Schizosaccharomyces pombe: one gene and its partner. The gene in region 2 interacts genetically with the main gene of each other region. Each region holds a gene or a part of one and is shown on either strand. Other genes may lie near its edges. The genes, in order: cox18 and oxa102.

Evidence for each region.
Region 1: mutations in oxa102 (region 2) and cox18 impair growth when combined (synthetic growth defect), as found in Schizosaccharomyces pombe (one study listed by BioGRID).

Annotation. Positions count from the first base shown.
Region 1 is NC_003421.2:1,792,642-1,796,245, forward strand, and holds cox18 (protein Cox18), read right to left. Parts: upstream 1,856-3,604; 5' UTR 1,734-1,855; coding exon 1,125-1,733; 3' UTR 636-1,124; downstream 1-635. Other genes in the region: hnt1 (adenosine 5'-monophosphoramidase), read right to left, coding at 196-597; zta1 (NADPH quinone oxidoreductase/ARE-binding protein), read right to left, coding at 2,338-3,327. UniProt on the Schizosaccharomyces pombe protein: Required for the insertion of integral membrane proteins into the mitochondrial inner membrane. Essential for the activity and assembly of cytochrome c oxidase.
Region 2 is NC_003423.3:2,869,962-2,874,239, reverse strand, and holds oxa102 (translocase Oxa101), read right to left. Parts: upstream 2,525-4,278; 5' UTR 2,343-2,524; coding exon 1,113-2,342; 3' UTR 747-1,112; downstream 1-746. Other genes in the region: calcium-dependent serine/threonine protein phosphatase calcineurin catalytic subunit Ppb1, read right to left, coding at 1-60, 105-243; SPOM_SPBP19A11.07C (uncharacterized protein), read left to right, coding at 3,369-3,388, 3,441-3,507, 3,545-3,996, 4,047-4,168, 4,211-4,278. UniProt on the Schizosaccharomyces pombe protein: Required for the insertion of integral membrane proteins into the mitochondrial inner membrane. Essential for the activity and assembly of cytochrome c oxidase. It is essential for viability while oxa101 is not.

The DNA of each region.
Region 1 (3,604 bases), on a different chromosome or scaffold from region 2:
AGGTAAAACAAGTAGGTAAAAGTGTATAAAACAAACTTTTCATTTCTAAAAAACATAAACGTCAAACAACACCCAATAACGACTTTCATGAAAAACACAAGCCTATTCTACAAAGACAGGGCTCATGTTTTCCTTATAGTTCTCGCCAAGTCAAGGAAAGTTTCGATTCAACGAGACACACAGAACAAAAAAAAACTATTTAATCTTAGAGCTGATTTCCTCGCCCAATGCCTTTATTTCTTCAGGAGAAATAGGATAAGAGGGCCAGCCTACTCCTAATCCATATTCTTCGTTAGGCTTGGGAATGATATGGAAATGAACATGATCCACAAATTGGTGAGCAATGCGACCATTGTTTTGAAGTACATTGTAATTTTCAGGACCAATAGCCTTTGTCACCTTTTTGACAAGGGGAAGAATATCTGCACAAGACTCATCGCTCAGTTCATGCATCTTAGCGGCGTGCTCCTTGGGAATAACTAGTGCATGTCCCTTAGATGTAGGAGCAATATCAAGGAAAGCCAAAGACAAGGCTGTTTCAGCTAGTTTCACACAAGGAATATCTCCTTTAACAATTTTACAAAATATGCAGCTCATAGTGGTGGTTAGCTTAAGTCAAGGATGTGCAAGTGGGAAAATTATCGAAATTTACCGTAGTTAACGTAATAAACAGTGTGAATAAGTCAAATGTTTTTAAAAAAAATGTAAATTTTAAAAACGACTTACATGAAATCAATAGTTAAATTCTTCCTTAAAAATGGAGTAATCGGCGAGGTTGCATTTCTCAAAAAGCTTTGCAGGTAGTCATCCTTGAAATGCCAAACTCATGTCACACGAACAAGCCTGTAATACTAATGATATTTATTAAATATTATTTGGCATTTTAATAATAAAGTATCTTATTTTTCATTACTAATTCAGTCAGTTTTTGCCATGATCAGATGTTTTGTGACAAAAGATTTTCCTTTTGGTAGGCCATAACAAATCAAAAACCTAGCTTTACCATAAGAATGTAGGTAATTATGTACGGAAAGAAAGAAGGAATAATATGTGAGTCTCGACTAGTCAGGTTTGATTTTGTTAAGACCTTTCAGAACCAAACATGTAGAATTACTCTTGCTCTTCTATAACAGCTTTCTCAATGCAACGTTTTGTACCAAAGAGTAAATTGCAGAGGTAGTCCAGTATAAAGACAATGCCGTAGAAGTCTTAAATGCCATAAAAGATACAAAGAAAGCAGACATTATACCAGCGGTATTGAATATTTTCAGCAATCGAGAATCCGAAGGTCGCTTCAATATAGACATGTTTGTTAAATAAGTAACAGCAAGGACCGCAGGTAGTACACCGTGAGGATCTGGTAATGTGAGATCGGTAAACCAAAGCATACCCTCTGTTGACATACTCTCGGGACATACATCGACTGCCTGTCTTAACTGATAAGATGCAAACGCGAATAAAGGTAGTTGAGTAATAGGCAATGCGTAAATCATGAGAGGATGACAATTGAACCTTTTGTACAGCTTTTTTCGTACAGTACGGAAATCGGTATTTGTTCGGCAACGTTTCTTTGCTTCTTTGATCAGTGGTTGCACTTGCACAAACCGACGAGCCGTTTTAAGGCTTGCAATAGCAATTGGCAATGTAATAGTAGAACGAAGGAATATAGCCATTGCCGGAATTTCATAGCACCATGGCATGTACGAGTGAACGCCTATTAATGTTTGAAGCATATTGACCTTTTTAATAAATTATATTTAAATGCGTAAGAAAAAAATTTTGTAGTTCAGAAAAATATGGGTGTACATGAAAGCAGAAGATGTAATATCATACACGAGATGAGGTTTGGGAAGGTGGGCAAATTTCGAGTTTGCTGGTACTAACTTCTAGCCAAGAAAAAATAGTTGTATTTCATGTTTAGTATTTTAAGAATGCTTCAAATTTATAGCATGGTTATTTTTTGTAATTAATAACGCGTTTTCGATGTTTATTAGAACGATTTATTATAATGAGTGGGATGCTACAGAAGTACATTACTTATAAATATAAATTGAGCTGAACAAAATACATGAGTCTGATTGAATAAAGGTAAGCAGGAAAAAAAGATATTCGTAACAATTGGTTAAAAAAAAAGGACTTACAGCTTAAAATATTAATATAAGTTTTATAAAGAATCATACACATTGACATTAAATTTGAAAAACTGAAAGATACTAAATCACTAATTTATGGGCATTGCTGTCAAAAGCCATTCTAAGATTAAGTCATTAGCCCAAAATGTTCAATGTATTCAAATGTTAGCTGCAAACGCAAAGCTCATTTCTATCAAACTAATTTTTAAGCATCAGCTAAATCTTCGTTACAAAGCAATAACAGTTTACCAGTAGTGGCACGACTTTCAATAGCATCGTGAGCTTCTTTCGCTTCAGAAAGCTTAAAAATATGATGAATTGCAATATTGAGATTGTTGTCCAAAATCTCTTTCCATAGTCGCGATACATAACCCTCAAAGACAGCATGACCAGTTATGTAGCCAAACAGCGACGGACGAACAAATTTAAGACAACGGGCAGATAGGAATTTCAAAGGGATAGCATCAATGGCACCACTAGCATTTCCAAAAGAAACCATAGTGCCGCCATTGCGTAGCGCATCTAATGACGATGAAAGTGTATCGATTCCTACAGAATCGTAAGCGGCATCAACCCCCTTACCATTTGTATAATCTGCTACTACTTTGGTGAGGTCTTCATAAGAGCAAGCAATTTCAGCACCGTTTTTTATGGCAATACGACGTTTGGCGGCAGTGGATGCCGTAGCAATCACATGAACATTTCTGGCTCTCAGCATCTGACAAAGAAGTAAACCAACTCCACCGGCAGCGGCATGCACAACAACCGTGTCTCCCGTTTTCACAGGATAAGCTTCTTCAATAAGTGTATAAGCAGTAAGGCCTTGCAGGAGAGCAGCAGAAGCGATCTTCAATGGAATCTTTTCAGAGACCTTACTAACTAATGTGGTGGGAACGTTGGTATATTGGGCATACGCACCAAATGGTGTAAGGTAGACCACTCGATCACCCACTTTGAAATCTGCTTCAACTTTATCGCCGACTGCAGCAACAACACCGGCTGCCTCTTTACCAGGTATATAAGGAAGAGGAGCAGTATACAAACCGGTTCGCAAATAAGTATCTATATAATTCAATCCTGCATATGCATTCTTAATAACCAAGCCATTGGGTGCTGGTTTGGGAATTTCCTTCGTTATTACTTGCAAAACGGAAGATGGGCCGGTCTTGGAAACCTGCACTAATAAATTTGACATATTATAAAATTACTAAACAAGAAGAGCAAATAAGTTGGTTTTAAAGCGTAAGTAAGGATTATGGGAACGAGTGGTAATAGTTATCGTTTTATAATAATGAGGTTAGGCATGGAGATCGCAGTGCAACGATTGAATGAGCAAGAAATGGCATCGATGTCGATACAGGACACCCAACTTATAGTTGGCAAGGAATCTCCTAGAAGAAAATTACTAATCAAACATGATCTTGTTTTTTCGTAAAAAGACCATTAAAAAGGGAAAAAGGATGTTTGTAGAT
Region 2 (4,278 bases):
GTTCATTAATATCAAAAAACTCCACGTCCGTCGGAATATAAGTTGCTGGTGCTTGAACATCTTTGATTGTTAATAAGACTAATTTCTTTCAAAAATATCCGTACTTTTCACTACTCTATCCAGTGTGCTAACACTAGAGCCATCTTCTTGAACAAATATTGTAAAATCATGAGAAGGAGCTTGATTTTTTTGGCGAATTGCTCGAACTATTGGGTCTTCTAAATTATGAGGACCCGAAGTCATATTAGTAACTTTTGCAAGCCTATATACAGCCTGGGTAAAATGCTAGATATTCTTGCAAAAAGTTTTGGTAGATTCTGGTTTGTTATACTTACATCGTCCCGGCGGTTTTGGAAAATGGTTTAACGAAAAGCAAAGAAATTCGTAATTGCTTTTCTCAATGAACCATGTGAACAAAAAACATATCTGTTTACAATTCTAAGTACTTTTTTTTTTTTTTATAATATAGATATATTTCATCATAATCTTTACTTCTGTATATTTAAAAATTTACAAACAATCGCCGCTTAGACAAACATATCTTAATAACCAATCGTGTTAGTAATAAGAAATGAACTTGTAGAAAGGGAACCCAAATACTACCTGAATTCCTTCCTAATTATATTGCCTTGCTCATTTTTGAGAGAAGCAAACTAAGTTGATTTGATGAAACTTACATTCCATGATTACCTAACTGAAATAACGATAGTTTTATTGATAAAATAAATATCCATAAAACACTTTAAGAGTTAATAATCATTTTATTTTTTGTTTAGACGGCTACGTCAAATTTTAGGTTATTGTAAATATTCTTTGATTTCTCATCGCTTTCCGTAGTAAAGAATTAGACAAAAGCGATTTTTAGAAAGAATAAGCAAAATAAATGTAAATTTGGGTATTTTATTAGAAGTAAAGGAAATAGAAAAGAGTGTTGCAAGTGTGAAGATATATGCAAAAACTAAAACATATGTAAAATTATGGGATAAAGCCAAAGGAAAGAAATGAATAATGCAACAAATGTAAAAAATTAACCATATCTTACAAACTTTTATGCTCTCAATAGGACATTGGAACACTTCTAAGAAAGAGAATTCCAAAGCACACAAAAAAGCTTAATCTTTCTTCTCGGTGGGTTTGGTAACAGAAGAGGACTTGTCATTTTGAGAATTATCAGATAGCGTAGTAGCTTTGGTAATTGTACTATTATTAGTAGGTTTTTGCTCATTGTTTGTATCGGTTTTAAGGAAACGTGTAGCATCTAGTATTTCAGAGGCTTGTGGGTATTTACCTTTTTCTTGAACCCCATGGACAATATCGGTAAATGACTTAACAAACGATTCATTTTGAGCGTTCGGTACTGGCATAGCAGATGGGACTTCTGGTAAGCCAAGTTTATGCCTTATGGTGGATGAACGCAAAAATGCCCCTTGAAATACACTGAAGACATTGCTAGGAAACCAATACATAAAAATTGCCATAGGAAAATTCATAGTGAATAGTGGACTGGCAAGGCAAAGAAATCTAAAAAATTTTTTCATTGAGGGAGACATAGCAACCTTATTACTTCCAGTTTCGCTACCAAGCTCTATATTGAGCAGCATAAGAAGGCCGTTTGCAACCGGAAATATGTGTAGAGGATCAGGCTGGGATAAATCATTAACCCACCAAAAACCACCATCAGTGAAACCCTCTACAGGTACACCCGCCATTGTCTTCAACGCGTAAAAAAAGCTAATAAACAGAATTCCCTGAAATACAGGAGCAGAAAGCAAATTCAAAGGGTTAACATTGTTAACTTTATAAAGGTTTTGGATTTGAGTGGTAGCTTGCATCATTAATTCGCTGTTTCCTTCAGCCTTTGCTTTACTCAACACACTCATGTGTTCAGCAACCTTTGGGTTAATGATAGCGAGCTTTGCGGACGTTTTCATCATCTTTAACATAATAGGAAATACTGCAATTCTCATAGCAACAGCACATGCAGCAATTGAAGCCCACCAAGGAAGGCCGCTCCAAATATGAAGCGTATTAAGGCCGTTTTGGAGGATATTATGAGGTAAGAAAGAAAAAGATGCTAAGACGGAGGACGACAATGGCAGACTAGGAGTGTAAACCACTTTCTCGGACCTAGATTTGGGGAAAGAAGTCGAAGAGTTGTGAATTTTTATTAAGGAAGAAGTACGCTGATTTCGGCCAAGCTTAGCAAAAGAGAAATTCTTAAAAAATGTATTATGTGTGTGGATCTGGCGAATCTTCGCTCCTTGTGTAGCAATCAAAAAGCATGATACCGAGTAATGAGATTTCGAAGAAAACTTTATTCCTCTTCCAATGACTGAAAACATGCTTGATTAATAGTGAAGCTCGAACTTCAAGGATATATGTTTTTACAAATCGAAGAACCAGCTAATGTTTATCCAAGATACCCAAAAATAAAATGAAGCGATTAAACCCAAAAAAACATATAAATAGATCCAAAATCCTCTAATAAAAATTTAATTGCAAGTTAAAAGTGGGTAAATTAACTGGTAAAATAACCTGAAAAGGTAGTAGAGATATTGAAATTTAGTTGTGTGCGCGTTGGCACACGGTGTAGTGTGGTATCTGTCGTTATATAAGTAAATACATACTATTTTTTGACTATTTATAATTAGATTGTTTCACACAGTTAAATCTGACACAAGCGTCAAAGTCAACAATGAAAATAAACTAGCAAAGCGATCGTTTGACCAATAATGACATTGGTTTATGTTACAAAGAAGTTAGTGATACATGTGTTTTTTGATTTAGAAGTTATGGCAAAAGCGGTTATTGATTCTAAAGAGGATATAAAGATTTAAGCGAGTTCTCTTATTTTTTTTTTTTACATTTCCTTGGTATATTGAGAAACGAGTCTTTGGTTAAACATGAATAGAATATGACTATAGTACATGTTTAGTTATAGTGAGTAATAGTGGATATTAATACTAACGAATTGCAGTGACAATACTTATGAATTGTCAATATTAATGAAAGATAACGATTTATCGTTATACTGTCAACAAATTTAGTATGTGTATTTACTGCAATAAATTGGCAATACTGTACGACATCATAGTACCGTATGTCCTACTTCCTAGCTGTGCTACTTTTGTAAAGCCAAATTGGAATTTAAGTAAAGGCTTCCATTTATAAAATTGTATTTAGGTTGTTAGCATTACCTAACATTTTGGACTATACCAGTTACTAAAGCTTTTAAAGACAATTTCCGACATCGAACAGAAAGCATATTTTGCAGAAGTTGATTGCTCTTATTTCTAAAGGCGTGTTGTGAATTAAAGCATTTCCTTTCTCAAATCTAAACTTTCATATTTAGCATTATATTGTAATCAATGGGATCCGCGGAATCCAAGTTAGTACTCGTTTTGTTCGGTATTTCGATTACTAATGCCTTTTGTTTATAGAATTTCTTTTCGTCATGCAATCCTTGCTTCTTTAAATACTAAGCCCGAGCGTGAAATTTACGAGTTTGTAAGTTGGTACACTTTGGAAATTGTTAACATAGCAGTTATTTACCTGCAACTTGACTGAAAATGATGTTTTCAGTTTTATTCTTGCTCAGGACATACGCATTTGCAGGGATAGCAACAAGTTTGACAATTTAGCCATATTGTTGCAAGTTTGTGTCCTTAACATCGTTTCAATTCAAAACAAGTTTTCAGAGCAGTATCCTTTAAAAAAGAATGCTTTACTAAATAGCTTCCTAATTCTTACACGGCTGTTACCATATCTCTATGAATCTACTAACTCCAGCAATTGGGTGCGCACGTATTTTCAAAAAGACTTCTCTCAAACCGTAGACGATTTAAAACCACTACTAAGCGAGTTGGGCTTAAATTACGAAATTGAATTACCGAACTCTTTCTCTAACTTGACTTCTCTATTGTCGTCAACTTTTCAGCTTTGCTTTCAACACGAATTTACTGTTTCAAAATATGCCTCTTCAGAGGAGAGCATATGGTTGGTCAATTTGAAATTTGAAGTATGTTCTTGCTAACTTCTTTCTTCAGGTCAGCTGGTATTGCTATCCCTGAAATTGCTCATCCACCTTCGTATGATCATCGACTGCATCAGTCCCTGCTTTCCTGCTTTCTCGTAGTTCTCCTTTCAAATACTTTATACGATTCTATCGGTATGTAGGTTTTTGTTATTAATACGGCGGGCTAATCCTTAGATGAACTTGACTTCTCAGTGCTCAATTCAATTGTTTCGCTTGATGCTAAAGATATTTACATTAGGGTT